Linked DNA regions of Mytilus edulis. The protein of the gene in region 1 interacts with the protein of each later gene in a pairwise test. Links are inferred from orthologs where the notes say so. Each region holds a gene or a part of one and is shown in the gene's direction. Other genes may lie near its edges.

Region 1 (11,894 bases):
ACCAAAATCAAAAGAACAAGATCAAGATCAAAGAACAAAAACAAAACCAAAAAACAAAACCAAAAAACAAATACAACTTAACGAATGTCTTAAAAGCTGTATTTTCTCCATCATTAAAATCAACTTACGCATTTCGTATTTATATATGATAGGTCTATATACATATATAAATATACGAGTCTAAATTGAAAACTACGTCCAAACCTATGATTGCGTTGAATAAAAACCGCAATTATTATACGTGTGCATGTAAAAACAAATTTCGTTGTAGAAGGGTCTAAAAGAACCTCTAAAATACAGCACAAACAACATGTTCCAAAAGACCAAAAAAGTGAAAAAGTATATTTAAACAAAACGCATTTGACTAACAGGTCGAACAACTGATGCTCTTAAACCCTGCTGACTGCCATTAAAATTGATCACGTGATGTAACAAAATGCTATAAATATATAAGTACGTCTGAGCCAGTGACAATATATATGATATCTATACTAAGCATATTAACTTTTTTGATACTATAGCAAACAGTGATAAGATTACGGATCTTTACAGATCTTTATACGTTTGCACTTTAAATACAAAACAGGACAATATCTCTCGATCACATTTCAATTTCATAAACATTATTTGCTCCCTAGATTCCTACCTTTCAGCAAAGTTTAGGATAGTATGGTCGACATATAATACACAAAACAAAGACAACAATGAAAATAGAGTGTACAAGAAGATCCACTTAAATAGCACTGAAAAAATGGAAATGATTTGAGCGCATATTAAACTTCCGCGGTTCATGAAGTTAGATTCATAACAAACCTGACATAGTTTTATAATATAGTTAATTGCTACCTCAGTTTTATATTAATAAGAATTAAAATGTGCTTTGTTATTAAATGCAATATCAGTATTTAGTTCAAATATATAATCTTAAATTAATCCTAATTCTAATGACGTCATTTTTTCGTCATTTTTTCATTTTTTGATGCTCTGTTTTACTAATTCTAATGACGTCATTTTTTCGTCATTTTTTCGTCATTTTTCAGTTTCAAATAGGACGTCACTTGGCGTAGAGGTTTATACGTATTCGGATGTGTCTACTTTTGTGTTTCAAATGTCTGGTTATGTAAATGTATTTCAGTTGTTTCCTGTAATTAGTTAATACTTCAGCTTTATCATGTACATCTTTTGAATATTCATTTTATTAAATTTACTGTTTGCAAAAGTATAAATTACTCTAAATTATAGGGATTTTCTGGTAACTTAACGGAAAACCCTTGCCGTTTTTGGCACAACCTTTTTGATCTTTTGGTCCTCGATGCTGTTCAACTTTGTACTCGTTTCGGCTTTCAAACTTTTGTATCTGTGCGTCACACATAGGTCTTGTGTGGACAAAATACACTTCTGGCGTATTAAAATTTTGAACTTGTTGCCTTTTGTTGGCTGTTGTTCGTGTGGTTCTTTGTCTATTGTGTTCTCCAATTTATTTATATTGTAGTCCTGTGTTGTCATTTTGATGTTATATTTCACATGGCCATAAAAGTGCGAGGTTTGGCATGCCACAAAACCAGGTTCAACCCACCATTTTTTCCTTTAAAAATGCCCTGTACCAAGTCAGGAATATGGTCATTGTTATATTATAGTTCGTTTCTGTGTGTATTACATTATAACGTTGTGTCGTTTGTTTTCTCTTATTTTTGAGTGTAAATTCACATTGCGATAAGACGTGTCACGGTACTTGTCTATCCCAAATTCATGTATTTGGTTTTGATGTTATATATATATGTTATATTTGTTTTTCTCGTGGGATTTTGTCTATATGTGTTACATTTTAGTGTTATGTCGTTGTTCTCCTCTTATATTTAATGCGTTTCCCTCGGTTTTAGTTTGTTATCCCGATTTTGTTTTTTGTCCATGGATTTATGAGTTTTGAACAGCGGTATACTACTGTTGCCTTTATTCATACACAAGTTTCACAAATTAGCCAAGACGTCAGCAACTATTGTACTCATCTATCACCCCTGCTTTCAATTAATAGTCTTAATTCCATTGTCCAAGAGGATCCTTCTTTTGAAGAAATTTATATTCCTCATAGCATTCCACAACCATTTGACACGGTTCGTAGAAATATAATTCATTGTTTAATCTTTTGGTGTATGATATTTTAAAATTTTCCAAATAATTCAGTCATAAAATAAAATTCCCATCACGCGGCGTAAAGCAAATCACTTTTATCCGATATAATTTAATCTATACATGTATATACATTAATGGCCTAGTTATGAGACACCAGGATGCTTCTCATTATAAATTCCCTTTTATTTGCACATGATTCTGTTTACTATATAGAAAGGGAACAGGAGCGAAACTTCTTTTGGTCCGCTCCCCCCACCCCCACCCCCTTTCCCCGCTTTTTTCGTATTTTATTTTTATTATATTATATAAAAAAATGTAAAATGGTTTAGTTAAACTCAAAAACTACAATAGTATTGGACTAAAGTAGATGTGTTTGTTGCTTATCAGATTCGGACGGTAACCCCCCCCCCCCCCTTTTTCGGTTCACTGACTTCTATGCTGAGCTCCTATACCTCTGTTCTTCTTTTAACAAACTCACTCTACAGAAGGTAAAACATGGTTAAGGTGATGTTTGTCAGTTCCACTTGGAAACTAAAAGTAAAATTCAACTTATAGGCAAATGGTAAAACTACTGATATAATTGTTTCAAATGTAATGATACGAATTTAAATTTTATTGAACAATCACTACGTTTGAGCGGACCCCCATCCCGTGGTAAAGTGCACTGCCGAACCAAGAGAACACAACACAGTAATATGTATGACAAAAAATGACACATAAAAGTGGCACTGCACGCGTTTGTGTTACTGTTTATAACTTTTTTATGCCCCATTTATGGGCATTATGTTTTCTGGTCTGTGCATTCGTTCGTCCGTCTGTCTGTCTGTCCCGCTTCAGGTTAAAGTTTTTGGTCGAGGTAGTTTTTGATGAAGTTGAACTTGAAACTTAGTGCACATGTTACCTATGATATGATCTTTCTAATGTTAATGCCAAAGTTCCAATGACAACTAGAGGCTCAGGCTAGAGGGTTCACGAAGATTAACACATGAGCAGAGACATGTACATATGTCGTGTACAATTTGTGATTTTGTACAGGTTATGAAATGTACAAAAATGTTGTACATGTTATAATTTGTACAATGCAAAAATACAAGTTATAACATGTACAAAAGTACCTCATACATGTTATACATGTACAAAATATTGCTTTAAAATGGTTTTAACTTGTACAAAATTTGAAAATAAAGATATGTTTCTATTATAACAACACATGCCACTAACCTCAATGATATTTTAATTATTTTTTGTTATTGTTCATTCATGTTAGTATGATACCTTTTTGATACAGATAGTTATTGACCAGATAAATAGTTTTTATGATGACATAATACCTTAAAGACTTTTTAAATTCACATGATGTAAATAATTAAGATTATTCGGTATTGTTACCTGGTATAAAACAGAAGAAGACTTAGAAGCAATATTTGAAGCAAGTTCTGTATCTAATAACACTGACATTGACCCTTTTTACCGAGACAGAACATAATACAGACACTTAAATAGAAACTGAAAACAATTTCAGAGACGGATATTATTACTGACACAAACATTGAAACTGATGATTAATTGAATGGTCATGATTCAGCAGACACCAATGAACGAACAAATGAGTTAGAAACAGAAACAATGGTAATGAAGTGATGCGAACATGGTTATTGAGGAAGTATCAGCATGCCATCTACTGGTATACTTCCTCGAAAGAGGGTGCTTTCTAGTGGTGATATTCCTGCTGTCAATACCAGTGAGGGTTTATCTGAAATTTCAAATACTGACATCAAGCGTGCACGAAAGGTGACCCTCACTGGCCAGCAGGTACAAGCCCAAGCCTTGACAAAAAACTCAAAAACTAGATAAACTGTTCTCTCCTTAGGCGATAATGTTATCATTCACATTCAGTCCATTGATATGGGCCCTGCATATATGCGAAAACATAACAGGCTTGGTGATGAATGTGAATGGACATATCATAGTGGCGGCTACAAAATTGGAACTGAAGACTTAGTTGGACAAATAAAGGGATACTTGAGTATAGACCCGGTTCAATTTCTTGCAAATGCAACTTCAAATGTGTCTGAAGTCCCAATAAGTGATATGAGTGTTAGAGAGATGGTCCGTAAGATATCCTAATTAAGTGTGTGGGGGCAAAGATTTGTGCATTGTTAGTGTAAAAAAACAGTTGTAGGTCTGGCAGGTGTAAATGTATAAGAGTGAAAGTTTTATGCAACTCAAACGTGTCACATATCTCTGTCTTGTAGCAAAAAGTAATAAGAAACTTGTTTCTAAAATGTATGAAAATGAAGTATTTTATGCATGCTGTAAATAATGAACCTTATTTTGCATTTGATTATTGTTCTTTATTATTTGAAAAAAATTCAATCGTGTAAATATATTCTGTTTTATCATTTTTAAATTTTGTACAGGTTGAAACCGTTTTTAAGCAATATTTTGTACATGTTATAACATGTACGAGCCGGAGGTACTTTTGTACATGTTATAACTTGTATTTTGGCATTGTACAAATTATAGCATGTACAATTTTTTGGATATGTTATAACCTGTACAAAATTGCAACTTGTACACGACATATACATATCTATCTCTGATATGAGACAGCTTTGTAAATTAAAAGGGTTTGACGTGAATGAGAACAGTGGTACAGCACACACTCCTTGGGGAAATCAAGGACGTATGTTAGTTATACGTCCTTGGGGAAATGGACCCATGAGACATATACTTCCATAGGCACTCGTCTCAGATCCCCCCCCCCCCTATATACCTTTATGTAAAGGTATATACAGATTTATTATTTTTCTGAGACGAGTGCCTGTATAGAACCTATATGATATTCTACACATAATCACGTTGTCTCAGCCGGAATGATTATTATCATGTTTGATTTATATGATCTTAATGATAGACTCATAATACCCATGCAATTCTGTTAAGAGCATTTATGAACGCATACAATTAGTTGAAATGTTGAGAAAGATTTACAAGAATAAATATGACACAAAGAAAAATACTTATATATATTGAAAAAAAAGGATAATCATGATGTATTATATATATGTTACTGTATTAAATATGCTGCTATTGAAAAAAATCGCATGAGTAAAACCATAGATGTCTACATCTATGGTAAAACCAAATTAAATTAGGAAAAATAAGTTTTAACATTTAAAAGAACTATCGACCCCTATTTCTATTTCTCTTGCAAATTTTATAACCCCATTTATGAAATGTTTGGACATCTATTTTGAAAATTTCCCGCTTAAAAGTTTGTATGTTCGGGTGTTCTCTAGATGATGTAAAATCTACTTGCAAAGAAGCGTGTTTGCGCATTAGTTTCATGTTTATTTAAATAAATTATGCATTTATAAGAAAAGTTTTCAAAGTTAAAGCATTTTCGAAATTGAAATCAGATTTAAATGTCAATAAACACTGTTAAAATCCAAGCCGATAAAATCCGAAAAGTCCGAAGCCATTTAAAAATGGAGACGATTGTAAAACATAACATTGTCATGCATGATCGCACATTAATTCTGATTGGTTGACAATTTGTATAAATACCTAATTCAACAAATTTGCATTCTCTTCTAGTCTAAACGTTCGTGGTGTTTGCATGAAGGAATAAATCGGGAAATTTGATGACAGAAAGGTTTATTGTTGAGGTAATTTTATGAATTGAATAAAAGAAACACTTGTAACAGTATCCTAAATTAACTTCAGCTTTAATTAAACAATAGCATCAGTATAATATTATTTTATTATTGTTTTTTCCTTCAGCCACAGCATCCGTTTTGGTTTGTTTACAAACGGAAAATTGCAATTATGCAATAAGATTCGATGTATATAATTAGTCACCTTGTAACTAATAACGGTAACGGATCAGCAGTAAAATGCATGCTATATATTTTCTAAACTATAAAAAATTAATGTTAAAAAGAAATTTATGTTGCCTTTGTTGGATTCAAGTCGCCGGTATCAAATCAATACAAGCGGAACTCGAGAGAATCAGGATGTTATTAAAATAGATTATGTAATAGAAAACAAATGTCATTTTTATGCTTTTTTTGAAGAAAATATTTTGTAATGGGTATTTTTATAAATTTCCAAGGTAAGGAAATTGTTTGTCAAAATTAATTAAACATGTTTAGCACAATACAATTTAATTAAGGAGTTTTTTTATACCTTGTTATATTATTTAATCTGACCAGTGCAGGAAATCGGACGTTCAAACTTGTCAGTTTTCAACCTTTGTAGCCTTTTAGCAACAGTTGTCAGTTTGCCCCCCCCCCCCCCCCCCCCAAAAAAAAGATGATTTATAATTAGATCCATTGATTGTGTGTGTTAAAATTGTGTTAATCACTATTTTTTGTCAAAAAGGTATTTTAGTTATAGCTGAAATTGAGAAAGGATTGATTTATTAGATTTCAATTAAAATCTTAATCAATATATATATACACACATGTTTAAATTCCATTCAAAATTGATTCCCTGTTAGTTCAATCTTGTTTTTGTTTTTTTTAATTTCAACAAAAATGACTTTTTTTTTTTATTAAAATGTAATTTGTTATGTTGAATCTAGTGGTATTTAGATTTCTGATTTTAGGCAGAGTTGTCATTTTGGTCCATATTAAGGGGGTCTCATTGGGGGGTTCAGATCCCGGATCCCGCTTACTGTTTTGTCAGATTCCCGTATCCCGCTTACACTATGTACGTAAGCAATTCACATTTTTTTGTCATTTCCTGGGTCCCGCTAGACCTCATTTCCTGTTTTCCCGACACAATAATTTGACTTTCACGTGTCACGCTTACAAAAAATTGGCAATCCCGCGTCACGCTTAGACCCCAATGAAACCCACTATTAAGGTCCAAAGTGTCCAATAGTAACTTAACATAATTTTGATTTTGATAAAAAATGAATTCTTGTAATTCTTCAATATGTTGAATTTTAACATGAATTTAGATTTTTAAACGTCCATCTACAGAACATATTATGTTATACCATTTGTCTGCCATCAATATATTGGAAATATCAGTGGCGGATCCAGAACATTTCCTAAGGGGGGGCCCACTGACGGACCTAAGGGGGGGGGGGCCACTCCAGTCATGCTTCAATGATTCCCTATATAATCAACCAAATTTTTCCCACAAAAGGGGGGGCCATACCCCCCCCCCCCCCCCCTGGATCCGCCTATGCATATTTAACTCTAAAACAATTACCCATTTTGCATAAAACTTTGGTGAATTGTATATATCTATTGATCAATTGACATGAGCACACTTTCGTTTTTCCTAAATTTTAGATTTTCCGTTTCAGAGAAATGTTTTTTTTCCAGTTTTCCGACCATAACTCAAAAGTGTTTTTTAATTTGCAAGAAACTTTGGTCAATTGTTCTTATCGGACAGCACAAATATTTTGGGGTTCGTATAATGCTATGATTTCGTTCTCGGTCTGCATCGTAGCCCGATGACACATTTGGTTTCTGGACAATAACCTTAGTTTAAGGGCAAATGATACAGTTACAGGAGAGGTAATGACATTGCTAACGTAAATTGTTATTTTCGCGACGTCAAACTATGACTTATCGGGAAAAGATTCAGTTTTCAACTGATTTTTATCATTCAAACTTATTACACTTGAAAACGAGTTCATGGACCCCTCTTTTTAGCTCACCTGGCCCGAAGGGCCAAGTGAGCTTTTCTCATCACTTGGCGTCCGTCGTCCGTCGTCCGTCGTCCGTCGTCCGTCGTCCGTCGTCGTCGTCGTCGTTAACTTTTACAAAAATCTTCTCCTCTGAAACTACTGGGCCAAATCAAACCAAACTTGGCCACAATCATCATTGGGGTATCTAGTTTAAAAAATGTGTGGCGTGACCCGGTCAACCAACCAAGATGGCCGCCACGGCTAAAAATAGAACATAGGGGTAAAATGCAGTTTTTGGCTTATAACTCAAAAACCAAAGCATTTAGAGCAAATCTGACATGGAGTAAAAATGTTTATCAGGTCAAGATCTATCTGCCCTGAAATTTTCAGATGAATCGGTCAATCGGTTGTTGGGTTGCTGCCCCTGAATTGGTAATTTTGAGGAAATTTTGCTGTTTTTGGTTATTATCTTGAATATTATTATAGATAGAGATAAACTGTAAACAGCAATAATGTTCAGCAAAGTAAGATCTACAAATAAGTCAACATGACCAAAATGGTCAGTTGACCCGTTTAGGAGTTATTGCCCTTTATAGTCAATTTTTAACCATTTTTCGTAAATTAAAGTAATCTTTTACAAAAATCTTCTCCTCTGAAACCACTGGGCCAAATTAATTCAAACTTGGCCACAATCATCTTTGGGGTATCTAGTTTAAAAAATGTGTGGCGTGACCTGGTCAACCAACCAAGATGGCCGCCACCGCTAAAAATAGAACATAGGGGTAAAATGCAGTTTTTGGCTTATAACTCAAAAACCAAAGCATTTTGAGGAAATCTGACATGGGGATATAAATGTTTATCAGGTCAAGATCTATCTGCCCTGAAATTTTCAGATGAATCGGTCAATCGGTTGTTGGGTTGCTGCCCCTGAATTGGTAATTTTGAGGAAATTTTGCTGTTTTTTGTTATTATCTTGAATATTATTATAGATAGAGATAAATTGTAAACAGCTATAATGTTCAGCAAAGTAAGATCTACAAATAAGTCAACATGACCAAAATGGTCAGTTGACCCCTTTAGGAGTTATTGCCCTTTATAGTCAATTTTTAACCATTTTTCATAAATCTAAGTAATCTTTTACAAAATCTCCACTGAAACTACTAGGCCACAATCATCTTTGGGGTATCTAGTTTGAAAAATGTGTCCGATGACCTGGCCATTCAACCAAGATGGCCGCCACGGCTAAAAATAGAACATAGGGGGTAAAATGCAGTTTCTGGCTTATAACTATGAAACCAAAGCATCTAGAGCAAATCTGACAAGAAGTTAAATTGTTAATCAAGTCAATATCTATCTGCCCTGAATTTTTCAGATGAATTGGACAACTGGTTGTTGGGTTGCTGCCCTCCAATTGGTAATTTTTAAAGAAATTTTGCCGTTTTTGGTTATCTTGAATACTATTATAGATAGCGATAAACTGTAAACAGCAATAATGTTCAGCAAAGTAAGATCTACAAATAAGTCAACATGACCTAAATGGTCAATTGACCCCTTAAGGAGTTATTGCCCTTTATAGTCAATTTTTAACAATTTTCATTAATTTGGTAAATTTATGTAAATTTTTACCAAATATAGTTCTCTGTTACTAATGGGCAAAGTTCATTATAGATATAGTTGTAAGAAGCAAAATCATTCAGTAAAGTAAGAACTTCAAACACATCACCATCACCAAAATACAATTTTGTCATGAATCCATTTGTGTCCTTTGTTTAATATGCACATAGACCAAGGTGAGCGACACAGGCTCTTTAGAGCCTCTAGTTTAAAATGCCATTTGATTTGATTACGCGAGAAGATTATGTGTGCCAATTTTCATGAAAACGTAAATAGTGCAATTTTTATACGACCGCAAAATTTGAAAAATTTTTCGTCGTATATTGCTATCACGTTGGCGTCGGCGTCGGCGTCGTCGTCGTCGTCGTCGTCTGGCGTCCGAATACTTTTAGTTTTCGCACTCTAACTTTAGTAAAAGTGAATGGAAATCTATGAAATTTTAACACAAGGTTTATGACCACAAAAGGAAGGTTGGTATTGATTTTGGGAGTTTTGGTCCCAACATTTTAGGAATTAGGGGCCAAAAAGGGCCCAAATAAGCATTTTCTTGGTTTTCGCACAATAACTTTAGTATAAGTAAATAGAAATCAATGAAATTTTAGCACAAGGTTTATGACCACAAAAGGAAGGTTGGTATTGATTTTGGGAGATGAGGTCCCAACAGTTTAGGAATTGGGGGCCAAAAAGGGACCCAAATAAGCATTTTTCTTGGTTTTCGCACCATAACGTTAGTATAAGTAAATAGAAATCTATGAAATTTAAACACGAGGTTTATGACCATAAAAGGAAGGTTGGGTTTGATTTTGGGAGTTTTGGTCCTAACAGTTTAGGAATAAGGGGCCCAAAGGGTCCAAAATTGAAATTTGTGTGATTTCATCAAAAATTGAATAATTGGGGTTCTTTGATATGCCGAATCTAACTATGTATGTAGATTCTTAATTTTTGGTCCCGTTTTCAAATTGGTCTACATTAAGGTCCAAAGGGTCCAAAATTAAACTTAGTTTGATTTTAACAAAAATTGAATCCTTGGGGTTCTTTGATATGCTGAATTTAAAAATGTACTTAGATTTTTAATTATTGGCCTAGTTTTCAAGTTGGTCCAAATGGGGGTCCAAAATTAAACTTTGTTTGATTTCTTCAAAAATTGAATAAATGGGTTCTTTGATATGCCAAATCTAACTGTGTATGTAGATTCTTAATTTTTGGTCCAGTTTTCAAATTGGTCTACATTAAGGTCCAAAGGGTCCAAATTAAACTAAGTTTGATTTTAACAAAAATTAAATTCTTGGGCTTATTTGATATGCTTTATCTAAATATGTACTTTGATTTTTGATTATGGGCCCAGTTTTCAAGTTGGTCCAAATCAGGATTCCATATCAAGTATTGTGCAATAGCAAGAAATTTTCAATTGCACAGTATTGCACAATAGCAAGAAATATCTAATTGCACAATATTGTGCAATAGCAATTAATTTTCAATTGGAGTTATCTTTCTTTGTATAGAATAGTAGTTGATAATATATGTTGGAAATTTGCCAGACATGACTATGATGTCATTTTCTATTTTTATTTGCCAATAACTTTATGTAAATAACTTCATTGGAAATTTGCCAATATAAAATGTTGCTGATGAAGCTTTTTTTCCTTATCTTATCTAAAATGTTTTAGATAATGTATGTTGGAAATTTGCCAGACATGACTATGATGTCATTTTCTATTTTTATTTGCCAATAACTTTATGTAAATAACTTCATTGGAAATTTGCCAATATAAAATGTTGCTGATGAAGTTTTTTTTATTGTTTTATACAATAAACAATGTATATTCACTTTTACTACCAACCAATCTTTACCATTCAGTGATAACAAGCACTTTATTTTACATTTTAATATTTTATGATGTATTTAAAAGAGTAGTTATTGTTGCAAACTCCATTAGAAATTTGAATTGATATCAGTTTTGGAAAAAGGGAAACGGGGATGTGAAAAAAGGGGGGGGGGGTTAAATTTTTCTCATTTCAGATTTCATAAATAAAAAGAAAATTTCTTCAAACATTTTTTTGAGAGGATTAATATTCAACAGCATAGTGAATTGCTCAAAGGCAAAAAAAAACTTTTAAGTTCATTAGACCACATTCATTCTGTGTCAGAAACCTATGCTGTGTCAACTATTTAATTTTAGATTTAAATAAGAAGAAATCTTTAATTGATTTGTAAAATCTTGACATTTGTTTTGTGTAAAAAAACCCATGTAATGTCAAAAATTTGATCACAATCCAAATTCAGAGCTGTATCACGCTTGAATGTTTTGTCCATACTTGCCCCAACTGTTCAGGGTTCGACCTCTGCGGTCGTATAAAGCTGCGCCCTGCGGAGCACCTGGTTTTAAATTTGATAAATATACAGCAAAAAATTATGTTTTTTTCTACATTCATGAACATTTGATAAATATGAGTTATTACTGAATAAAAAAAATTATATTTAGGATACTTATAAAATACA
Region 2 (11,805 bases), on another chromosome or scaffold:
TCTCTCTTATTTTTCCTTTCTATAGTTTTATTAGGTAATTGGTTTTCTCTTGTTTATTCGTTTCCCATTTTGTCATACTGGTGCCTTTTATAGGCTACTATATGGTATGGCTTTTTCTCATTATTGAAGACCATATATTGTCCTATAGTTGATATATATCCTTGTCCTTTGGTCTCTTTGTTAGTTCTCTTTAGCTTCCAATTCTTGTCTTTCTGAACATGCATGAAACTTTGCCACTGGACCTTAGAAAACTGACAATCAATAAATCGATCTTAATTTTTATATTTTTGCTGGATAATTATTCTTCTATATTTTATAAAAAAAAAACCTGCCAACTTTTTAAAATCTCTATGGGGTGTTTATGCAACAATTCTAACGGTTAAAACTTTCAGTGTTCTCGTGTTTCATGGTTCCCCTCTAGATTGTACCAGTAGTGTCAGATCTCTTATTTTTTTCTTACAATTTATGATGAATTTGTTTTGTTGCACAATTCCTGTAATCTTGTTTTTTTTTGTGTAGAAGAAAGGTACAAAGCATCACAGCAAAATCTTTTTTTTGGATAGGAATGACTGACTGTAAACCTTTTCCATATTTTGACAAATAAAACACATTTATCAAGTTTGCATTGCTCTCTCAATTGTGGAATGCTGTAACACAAGGTGTTGTAACTATTCTTGCAGATTTTCACAGAAAGGAGAAAGTATGCATTTACTTTTTCTAAAGAAGGCATAATATATGTCTGGATCTTTTCAACTGCTGAGAATAAACTTTCACAATCAGGGGAAGTAATGCAATATTCTCACAAAGACTAAAGTGTTCTAAGCCTCGAAGGATTTCTGGTGAATAGATGTACTTCTTTGGAATGTTAGTGGGGTCACCATAAACGTTGAAGCATTTGTTGCAGAGGAAAATTAAAATTATAGTTAGCAGGGGAAGATTCAGCCATTTGAAAAAGGGGGTCCTCAACCTAGGAAAAAGGGGGTTCCAACCATATGTCCCCATTCAAATGCATTGATTGTCCAAAAATAACATGGAACCCTCCCCTGGATCTGCCCATGGTTAGTTTTTTGAAAACCAGCCATTTTCTACTTACTTGCATAAAGCAACACAAGTTTCTTAATTAACTAAGATAGAACCATTTAGCTAGTGATAATTCATTTACAATGATCACATTTTTCTAATTTAAACAAAGACAGAGGGAAAGAATCGACTAAAAATTCCCAAATGCTTCTTACAATGTTGAATTTTACAATTTAGTGATTCATCAGGATGAATTAGTAGAACACAATTCCATTGATCAATCATTCCTGGGTTACAGAAGAGAGTGCATCCCTTGCCTATGGCTAAACTGCATCTTAAATACACATTAGTAGGTCATTTGCTGAAGTAAGCATTTTAATTTTTTTTTTAAATCCTCCATCACCATAAAAATGAAACAATGAACCTGTATATGAGAAATCTTTCCTATCAAACTTGTATGTTTTGTGGAACAATCCAAAATACTAATTGATTGAGGAGTAAAAGAGAAGAGTACATACTATGGTGCTGTATGCAAATTTTGTGATGTCTATACGTTGGATTTTTTTTTTTAGAGTTCAACAAATACATAATAGTAAAGACACTTGTCTATTGTTGAAGACCCAATGTTGACATCAAAATATCTTTTATAGATTTTGTGCTGTTGGTTTGCAGTTGTAGAAATGTGTACCTCATATCTTTTTATTCCTATATAATATAAAACATAAGTCAACAATACCAAATTAATTTAAACTTTATGTTTGATATGAAATTTGATACATCTTTGAATATGATTGATCTTTAAAAATACATTTATGATACAAAAGAAATCTTTCTCTTCCCTCTTTTCATAATTGTGAAGTTTTGATAGAGAAATTTGGCTTAATACAAAATCAACAATATGTTTTCCTCACTATAAAATACTATTATCAATTACACACAAATATATCTTTTACAAGGACTTTTAAACTGGCTATAAGTTGATGGAATGCATTAAAAAAAAAAAAAAAAAAAAAAAATAGGATGTTAGTGCAGAATGCAATCCTCAAATTTATCACGTTGGTATATGTTGAATGATTTCTTATTACTTACAAATTACAAAAGAAAAATGAAAAGTATCTTGATCAATGTTGAAATATGAGATTCATTCTCTGTATTAAAAAAACCAATATTGATTTATAAAACAGCATTTTATTTTGAACTTTCATACTTGTCAATAATTATTTTCAAGATACAAAGTATATCTGGTTTCAAAACCAGACGTGTTGACCTACATCACTACAAAATAGATCTTTTCCATCAACACAGTCGTTAATACAAGTCGGTATAAAATATTATTCACAAATAGTTCCTGAGGTTTCAGAACTCTGAGTCAGGACTTCTGATAGAATTGTTCCTGTGAATTCCATCTCATAAAAACAATGTTACATAGTTATTGCACCAATAAATACAACTGCTTATTCATCTCTGTCTATTCTGAGCTGCCTCTTTTCTTGCTGCATCTTGTAACAATTGTGTATCACATTCATCTGCAGGTAACTGTACATATCTAACTACTGAACCTCTAATAAAACAATTCTTCACTGATAACTGAAAAACAGAGCATGTTACTATTAACAATTCATTTTATACTGACAATTTTCTGTTACATTACTTATATCTTACTTATTGTATATATAATTATTAAAGATATCAAAGTAAACAAGTTACAGTTTTCTATGAATTTCAAGATTCACTCAAAAAGTACCCTTCAATTAAAACTAACAAATCAGACACTTTTCCCCAAAAGTACATATGTCTATTTATATATCAAACGTTTTTTTCTTGTTTTGATTTGGATGTGTAAATTAACTTTAATACATGTACTGCTTATAATCTAATGTTCTCAGTAAATAGTATCATAATTATAAATCATCATCTTAAGTGTATCATTTTTTGAATTATGCTTTTTGTCTCCTCAGTATCTCCAGCCTTGAGCTCTTTTGTGCAACTTTTGGTCTGATTTAGGCAATCATGATTGAACACTTTCTGGGTATTATTCAGACACTTGATCAGCAATATAGATGTAAAGTGTAATTATTTACTAACTGATAAGAAAAGACCTACCATATGTGGATATTTATCTGGATCTGTCACCTGTATGTCTGTTAATTTAATATTCAGGAACTGATCTACTGAATGTAATGTACCACATATGCTACAAAATAAATAACATTTAAAGCAAAACTATACATGAAAAATATTACAAAACATAGTATAGGTATGGACAAATAATTTAATACTAAATGGTGTATAAAATCTCAATTTTGGAATATAGTTCCTGTTCTTCATTAAAGCTAATGCTCATGTGTTTTTATGCAGTTATGTTTAGTTCTATTATTGTTCCTGTACTTCAGACTACTGTCTTAGAAATGCTGTGCTTAACTGGAACAACAAAGTATTTGAAGTTTTGTCAAATACATCAACATGCAGAAAGAGGCTCATCATTACAAGTTCATTATTAAGATCAAGACCAAATATCAAATTTTCCAATAATTCTGAAAAGAAATATGAAACAAAGGCTATGGACAAAGCAAAAGATGAATGCAGTTCACCAACCAGTTTGTACATTTGTAATTAGGGCCTGGGATGTTTATTAACATGATAAAAATAATAAGACAAGTTTCCACCTACATGATTTGTTAGACCAAATCTTGTGAATGTAAGCAACTTTAGTATCTGTCTTTATTATTCTTGGCTTCTTACCTCAAATCATTCTTTAGTTCCACAACAACATCTTTACCAACTAAAGATTTGAAGAAAGAGTAAAACAACTGAAATCAGAAAAAATAAACATGATTAACATGTATAAATTCATTCATATTTTGATTCAATTTAAATTATGGAAATGTGATTTGAATTTGCCAATGAGACAATTTTCTCCAGTTTTAATAAGCTCTGAGTCTGACAGCAAATGAGAAGGATGTAAGCAATAGCACATTACTGTCAGATATTTTGTATTATGAGGTCAAAATTTTAAAGGAACCCTGAGGGATGTCCAGTAATGAAACAAAAGGGATAAGATGTTTAGTCAATACCTCGGGGATTGTCTATTGGAAATCTATGAATAAGAATCCATGACTAATCACCCCACTGGCAAATCACCCCACACCTAATCGCTCCACTTTTTAACTAACTTGTCCCACTTTCTGAAAAATTCGCCCCTCTTTTGTTTACCAACTCGCCTTACTTATGAAAAAGGGCAATTCCCTTTGAAAATATGTTGGATAACTTTGCTCCTTATATGAAAAGGGTAAAATTCCCTCTGAAATAAGGTCTGCCAAATGCAACTCTTTATTCATAAATATATCAGCCATAATATTTCTTTGTATTTGATGTTTCCAAAATTCATAATGACTTGTGAAAAATAGGTAAATCCTGATGAATATAATAATGCAAAGTCATCCCACTTGATGCAAAAGATGTAATCCCGTTGTATATATCTATGTTCCTAACGCACTCATAATTAAAATCAATACCTATGCAAACCTTAGATAAACATGCTTTTCTCATTTGAATGGTTTTACACTTGTCGTTTTGGGGCCTTTAATTGTGACTTGAATGAAGTGCTGTCTCATAGGCACTCATACCCATCTAATTATATATCTATTTTGTAGTTCTTTTCTTTTTGTTGAAATAAAGAAGAAATAAATGAGTATCAGTATTTCCGAGACGTGAATGCCAACTAGCCCCACTTGTGTAAAATAGAAAAGCCCTAGTGAATCGAGTCATGCCCCCTCATACTAGTCGTTTTTAAGTGGGGCGAGGTGGTAGACCAGAAAATTATATATTCATCTAGATTTTACCTTTTTCATTAATAAGTGGGGCGAGTTTCCCTGAAAAAAAATAACGGGATTTAACTGTTTTCACAAGTGGGGCGAGTTGGTAAACTAGTTTGAGGCGAGAATTTTTTTTAAATGGGGCGAGTTGGTGAAAAAGTGGCGCGATTTGTCCTGCTTCCATGAAGAAGATGTTCTTACACGACCTGTGTCAGACTTATAGGTCGTCGGGCTATTGCAGTGTCGAACTAAAAGTTGTGGGGTAGTTGGAATTAATTAGTGAATGCGTGACGCTCATCACCATATAGTCCAAATAATTATGACGTCTTGAAAGGCTATTATAATTTTTTTCTTTGACGCCTTACATCGACGTCGATGTAAGGCGTCAAAGAAAAAAATTATAATAGCCTTTCAAGACGTCATAATTATTTGGACTAATCACCAAAGTGACACCCGAATTTTATAAAGCAGAAAATAGTAAAATAAACAACTTGAGGCCATGGATAGACTTTCAACACAACTCCTCCTATACACTTTATAGTGTCAAATAGAGCTGATGGGCTGGCACAGCTTAGAAATTGAAAGATGAACGTTATTAAATGAAAATCAAAATGTAAAATTTTCATTCATGCTTTTACCCACCATTTTGGATTTTTATCTCGTCATGAAGGAGATTTCACTACAATGAAAAATAAGGACAATCTTTATTCATAAATATATCAGCCATAATATTTCTTTGTATTTGATGTTTCCAAAATTTATAATGACAATCAGAAAATTTTCTTAAAAGAACAGAAAAAGTAGATTTTGCATAGCCGGTCTTTGTTGTCACGTGACTTCAACGAGATCATAATTTGTAAAGTGAAAATAGCACTGTCATACACAGCAGACAACTTGAAAATGACATCTGTACTCAGTCATATAAATCAGGAGGAGTCACATTATGCTCCTAAACAAGCATACTTCAATCCCTATGAACAGAATGGAGGGTATTATATTTTCTCTCATGTAAAATTCACATATATATTAGAAAGTAAATCACTGAAATGATGCACATTCAAGTCATTTTCACATAACTATGTTCTTTGAAACAATCATTTTATTAGCAATGAAACAGCTATCAACCTGAGAACAAGGCGTTGTTGTAAGCAAGCCCCTTGTCTGTCCATTTGCTGATTTTATTTACATGGTTACAAGTTTCAACATAAGAGTAACGTTGTCATGACCAAGTTATACATTGGGAGTACACCATAATGTTACTAGCACCACTCAGACCTGCAATCTACGTATCCTGATTTTGGTGGTATCATCCAGTTGTTCATGCCTCAACCGGAATCCAGATATAGGGATTGTAAACAAGTCAAATCATTATTTAATTATTTTTCGTCAAAGACAATTAGCCTCACCGGACACAATTACGAACGATTTTTGAACTGTGATTAATATTGTTTTTATGTAGACTACTTTTCTTGAATTTTTTATACCATAGAATTTAAGATGTATGAAGGCTTTCCATTTTGCATCATATCCCACATAAATTTTTATGCACGTTGGGTTACTTTAGTAAGATTTGCGTGACCTCGTTTTACGGGTCAAGAGAGCCACATATGGACGCAATTCCGAACAGCACTACATTGATATATCTTGCAGAAGAAATCAATGACAACAGTCTATATTGATAAAGCATACATTAATCTTTATCTCAAACTCATTTTCATAGGAAAATAAAAAGCACAAGTTTGTTTTTTACTTCAATATACTTCAGCAGTGGTTGCAGACGAAATGTCGGTCATGTGTAAAGGAAAGATTTCTGATTTTTTTTTTTTTTGTGTAAGTTCCTCCTTTAAAGGAGCACTAAATTCAAGTTTATCCATTTCGGTGGTGTACTTGTCATTCATCTACGATTTTTTTTATATTGGTCAACATTTCTTTCGGAGTTCTCTGGACTTTTCAATAAAATTAACATATTTTCTTTTGGCCATAAATAGGTTCACAAGACTGAAGAGTCTAAAAAACGTCAATTGTGCGGTTATTTGGGCATGATAAAAGGCATCACGCATATGAACAGAATCAGGAGATATTTTTCTTTCTATATATTAACAAAAGAAGGCAATATGCACTTACCTTTATGTATTTTTTTACATAACTTCCAGGTCAGATTGCCGTTCTTATAATATTTTCAGAATGATTTTGTCATCGTCATCAACATTTACCAAGTGCCCATAAATTGTATTATCATGAAAACAAGGGATTTTTAATAGGGTTTTTATTTATAGAAACATTTATTGATAAATATAAACAAATATGATCTCAGAGGGCAAACATTGGAAATCGTTCGTAATTGTGTCCAGTCGTAATTGCGTCCTGTGGGGCTATCAATTCTGATTTTAAAATTATACTTTAATTTACATAGAAAAAAGATTTTTTCATACATGTATGTATCACATGCAAGAAATTGATTTCAGCAAATTTAATATTAAAATGCAAATAGACAACTTTCGAGTTAGATGCATTTCCATCAAAAACTCTGGTTTTAGTGAACGTCATTTGTGCGTTTAGGGGCGTCGTCACTTCCGTTCCAATGTTGAGCGATTGGTTGGAAAACTATAATTCCTTATTGTACGAATTATTCGGCAAATTGAATTCTCAAAATTGACAATCAGCATTGCTGTCATTAGGGAATTGTCATTAAGTACCTACAGAACAACCATTTTTTCTTGTTTATCCTGCACAATGACTATCACTAAGACGCTTGATGAACGTAAATAGTGCAGGGATACAGGCGACCCCCTCTATCTGATAAATGACGTCATAAAGGCGGGTATAATTGACGAGTTTTTTCCGGTGACGGATGAACTCGAAAGTGGTCTATTGAATTCACGTTAAATTTAATGAGTGCAACTATTATCTGTTGTACATGTTGTATTCAAACACTTTTAAAGGTAATTAAGTTACAGGCCTCGACAATAACGCTTGTCCGATTGTCCGGTACCAGAGCAAAAAAAGGTCGGACAAGTAAAAGCTATATCAAGCTTGTCCGATGGGACAAGTAAAATTATTCTGCAGACAATAAATTTGATGAACGTACATGTAGTAATTATAATCAATAAAACAAGAAGAGAAGAGAAAAATAAAGTTTTAATTTTACATGTTTACTTGCAATCGAATATTTAAAACTGGTTCTTTGTCAGGTACTTTTTAACAGGTAAAAGACATACTATTCTCGTAAACCAGTCTTACTGATTCGAATCAGCGGCGCTTTGCAGATGAGGTAACTTTACAAGACAGTTCATCACTAGCTGAAACGGTTCGGCTCCAACTTTAATAGACAATTTGGCACCGTACAAGACATATTTAATAGTCGTGATTAATAGACAGTTTGGTAACATACCCGGACCAAGACAAATATGAACATCATTTTTCTACCTTATTCTGTTGCTTTAAAATAAATTATACCGGTATTTTTTTCAACAAAAATACTTTTTTACATATATATGAATGAAGAAATTGTGTACCACAAAATTCACTAAATCATATTTGATCCTATGTAGTAAAAAACAATACTTGCAATACGGTGACCTATAGTTGTTAATTTCTTGCAGAGAGTTGTCTCATTGGCAATCATGAGGGTCTGGATGGGGGGGGGGGGGGGGTCTGTTATTCTGTAAACATTTAATTTCGACCCTTTTTTTTTATAATCTTTAAAAAATTAACCCCTTTTTTCTCTAATCTTCAAAAAATGTACCCCTTTTTTCTCTAATCTTCATTTTTTAAGGGCATTATTCTTTAATCATTTAACCCCATCCAAACCCTCAATCATAAGTCATCTTCATTTTTGTATGCCCCACCTACGATAGTAGAGGGCCATTATGTTTTCTGGTATGTACATGATGTACTTTTGTTCGTCCGTCTGTCTGTTCGTCCGTTCATCTGTGCGTCCGTTCGTCTCACTTCAGGTTAAAGTTTTTGGTCAAGGTAGTTTTTGATGAAGTTGAAGTCCAATCAACTTGAAACTTAGTAAAGATGTTCCCTATGATATGATCTTTCAATTTTAATGCCAAATAAGAGTTTTTATCCTAATTTCACGGTCCACTGAACATAGAAAATGAAAGTGCGAGTGGGGCATCCGTGTACTATGGACACATTCTTGTTTATTGATTGCATTTAAATACACTTTTCAAGTTAAAAAAAACATTGACAGGCCTATCAGACGGTTCCTGATCATCTGCCTAGTCTTATAAGACTTTGGCATTTATGAAAACTAGAACCTGTGACAAAACTAGATTCAGTTGTTCCGACTCATATTTTTTAAAAGTATTTCAAAAGATACATAATATGTATGAATCAAACACTGTGGAATCAACTTCTGTTCTATTGTTTTAGTTATTTTGTTCCTTGAATCTACTTATTATGCAAAAAAGGTTATTCTTAATATTTTTTGGGACAAGTTTCAATTTCATTCGGACAAGTAAGTTTTGGTATGTACTTGTCCTATTGGACAAGTTGAAAAAAAAGTTATTGTAGAGGCCTGAGTTAAATAACAATAAAAAGTCGGTGATTTCCTGTCAATTTGATAAACAAAACTAATCCAGAAATGAATCCAGAACTATTGTACATGTACTTTAATTTGATCGCAAAACGTCCGGTTTTAATTTAGTCAAACCGAAACAAACGTAAGCAGTGTCTGGAAATTAACCAGTTTTAGTCATTAAAACCATTTCAATTTTAAACTGTTGCCTTCCCTATACTGTTCTCGAAGGAAATGGTAAGACATTTACTTTGTAAATGCAATGAAACAGCAATACAAGTTTGTCAATTCTATGAATCTAGTCAAGTTGAAAAGGGGCACCAGCTGAAGTCTTTTCAATCATCTCAAAATGACCAAAATTGTATGGAAAAATTTCCAGATCCTTACTTTAAACTACTATTTTCTGCTACGTTATACAGTTAGTGTCAAATTGGTTAAAGTTTAACTATGATTTGTCAAATAACCTGATCCTGATTTGTCAGAACTCTCAAATAATTCTCGTTATTTTTCGGAAAAAAGAATAATGTGATTTGTCAAAATCAGTTCACTTTTATTGTCTAAAGAAATTATTTATTTAATTGACTGAAATGCACCAAAAATTAACGTTCAAGTCATTTGCCAAGAATTTTTACTGTTATTTTTCATGAACAGGATAAAAGTACCCCCAATGAATACAACAGTCTGTAACGTACCCATCTTAAATGAAACATTACCTGAACCTGTGTTATAGTGAAGTTAAGAGTACTTTTGAAAAGAAATTAGTTTGAGCACTGACCATAAATTATTTAATGAGGGTATGAATGTTCTTTACAGTCAGGCTTCAAACGGTTATTTTCGGTTACAGATAGCTTAAGATAGAAGTTAAGAGTTGCGTATAAAAGAAATTAATTGTCTGATAAGTCCTTATGTTCACAAACCTGAATATGACAGCTGTTTAATGAAATTCACCAAATGACTTTGTTTGATTAAAAAACACTGTTCCACCATTTTTTTCAATAAAAAACAAAGGGGAATAATCCAATCATTAAAAATATAAGAAAACTGCCATTGATGATGAAATCACTTTTTTCAGGACAGTGTTAGCAGTTGCTGGTGAAGATTTTTCCATAATAGCATCAGATACAAGGTTGAGTCAAGGATTTTCTATACACACAAGGGATCTACCAAAGACCTATAAACTGTAAGTTAAATGACTAAACATGGAATCTTTAAGTCATGTTATCAGAAGCTAAAAGATTACCGGGTAGTTGTATTATTTGTTTGGTTGATAATTTTTCTTACAGGGCCTTGGTGGCAAATGGTCTCAGTACATGTAATTCATAGACGGTATTACCAGCCTATCAATATGGCAAGTGCATTAGACTTTAATATTGGCCAGTGTTGTCAGTTTTCATGCTAAAGTCTGTAGTTCTTTCCTCAGGCACCAGCTTCTGGCACCAATATAATCATGATAATACAGTTGGTGTTTTTTTTAAGTTGTTCAAGTTTCCTATTATACATATATTTCTTGTGCCTCTTGCACTCAGAAACTATATTTATATATACATGTAATAAATGTTAATTTTAAGATATTTCTGTAGTTCTTTATTGACCATGCATGTGGTGTTTATTTTCTCAATAATTTATTGAAACAACAGTTAGTAATTATTGTTGAATATGTTCATGATGTTGGACAATAACAGAGATGGAGGATTTAATGACAGTTTTGACAAGAAGCATAGTTGAAAGTTAATTTTCTTTTCTTTTGTAGGACATCTTCAACAGTTCTTGGAGCATGTGGTTTCCATGGAGATACACTGACACTTACTAAGATTTTACAAGCAAGACTTAAAGTACGCTACAACTTTTGTTTTATTGTATAGATGGAAGTACCTTAAACTTACATATTATTATTAATATAATTCTAATCATTTGGTTTAAAAATAGCTTATGATATAGGCTGTTTTGGGTAGAAATCAACCTTATGCAAATTCACATATACATATACATTTATAAGACTTAGGCCAAATAAAAATATATGTGTGGTTCCAGTAACCCTACCGACCCTACTTTTTCGGCTTAGAAATAGCTTACTCTAAAGATTTTATTGTCATTTTTCATTAAGCACTGTTAAAGTCAGAATGTTGCTCCCATATACTCAATGTAAAAAAACCCCATAAAATAAAAAAAAAATCCCTACCTACCTACCCTAACTTTTTTTCAGATGTAACTGGAACCACACAAACTTTTTTATTTGGCCTTAATTGATTTCTGAACATTCAAATAGGAAACAAAATATGAATGTAACTCTGTTTTGTAGGGTACTTATAACAATTTAATTAAACAAACAGTTACAAACATTCCGTAGATTTTTTCCAACCAAAATAGGTTAACAGATGTACATGTCAATACATGTATTTGTTCGTTTGTACACGGTCCATTTCTATACAACACAGCTCATTT

Evidence for each region.
Region 2: the proteins of methylenetetrahydrofolate reductase (NADPH)-like (region 1) and proteasome subunit beta type-1-B-like interact in a two-hybrid assay, tested with the Caenorhabditis elegans proteins (3 studies listed by BioGRID). The link is inferred for Mytilus edulis from reciprocal best matches to the Caenorhabditis elegans genes mthf-1 and pbs-6.

Annotation. Positions count from the first base shown.
Region 1 is NC_092356.1:31,714,389-31,726,282, reverse strand, and holds the start of methylenetetrahydrofolate reductase (NADPH)-like, read left to right. Parts: upstream 1-5,721; 5' UTR 5,722-5,801; intron 5,802-11,894.
Region 2 is NC_092345.1:55,906,396-55,918,200, forward strand, and holds the start of proteasome subunit beta type-1-B-like, read left to right. Parts: upstream 1-5,664; 5' UTR 5,665-5,735; coding exon 5,736-5,824; intron 5,825-10,435; coding exon 10,436-10,543; intron 10,544-11,113; coding exon 11,114-11,195; intron 11,196-11,805. Other genes in the region: U6 snRNA-associated Sm-like protein LSm2, read right to left, coding at 2,479-2,607, 3,124-3,214, 3,763-3,830, 5,478-5,480. UniProt on the Caenorhabditis elegans protein: Non-catalytic component of the proteasome, a multicatalytic proteinase complex which is characterized by its ability to cleave peptides with Arg, Phe, Tyr, Leu, and Glu adjacent to the leaving group at neutral or slightly basic pH.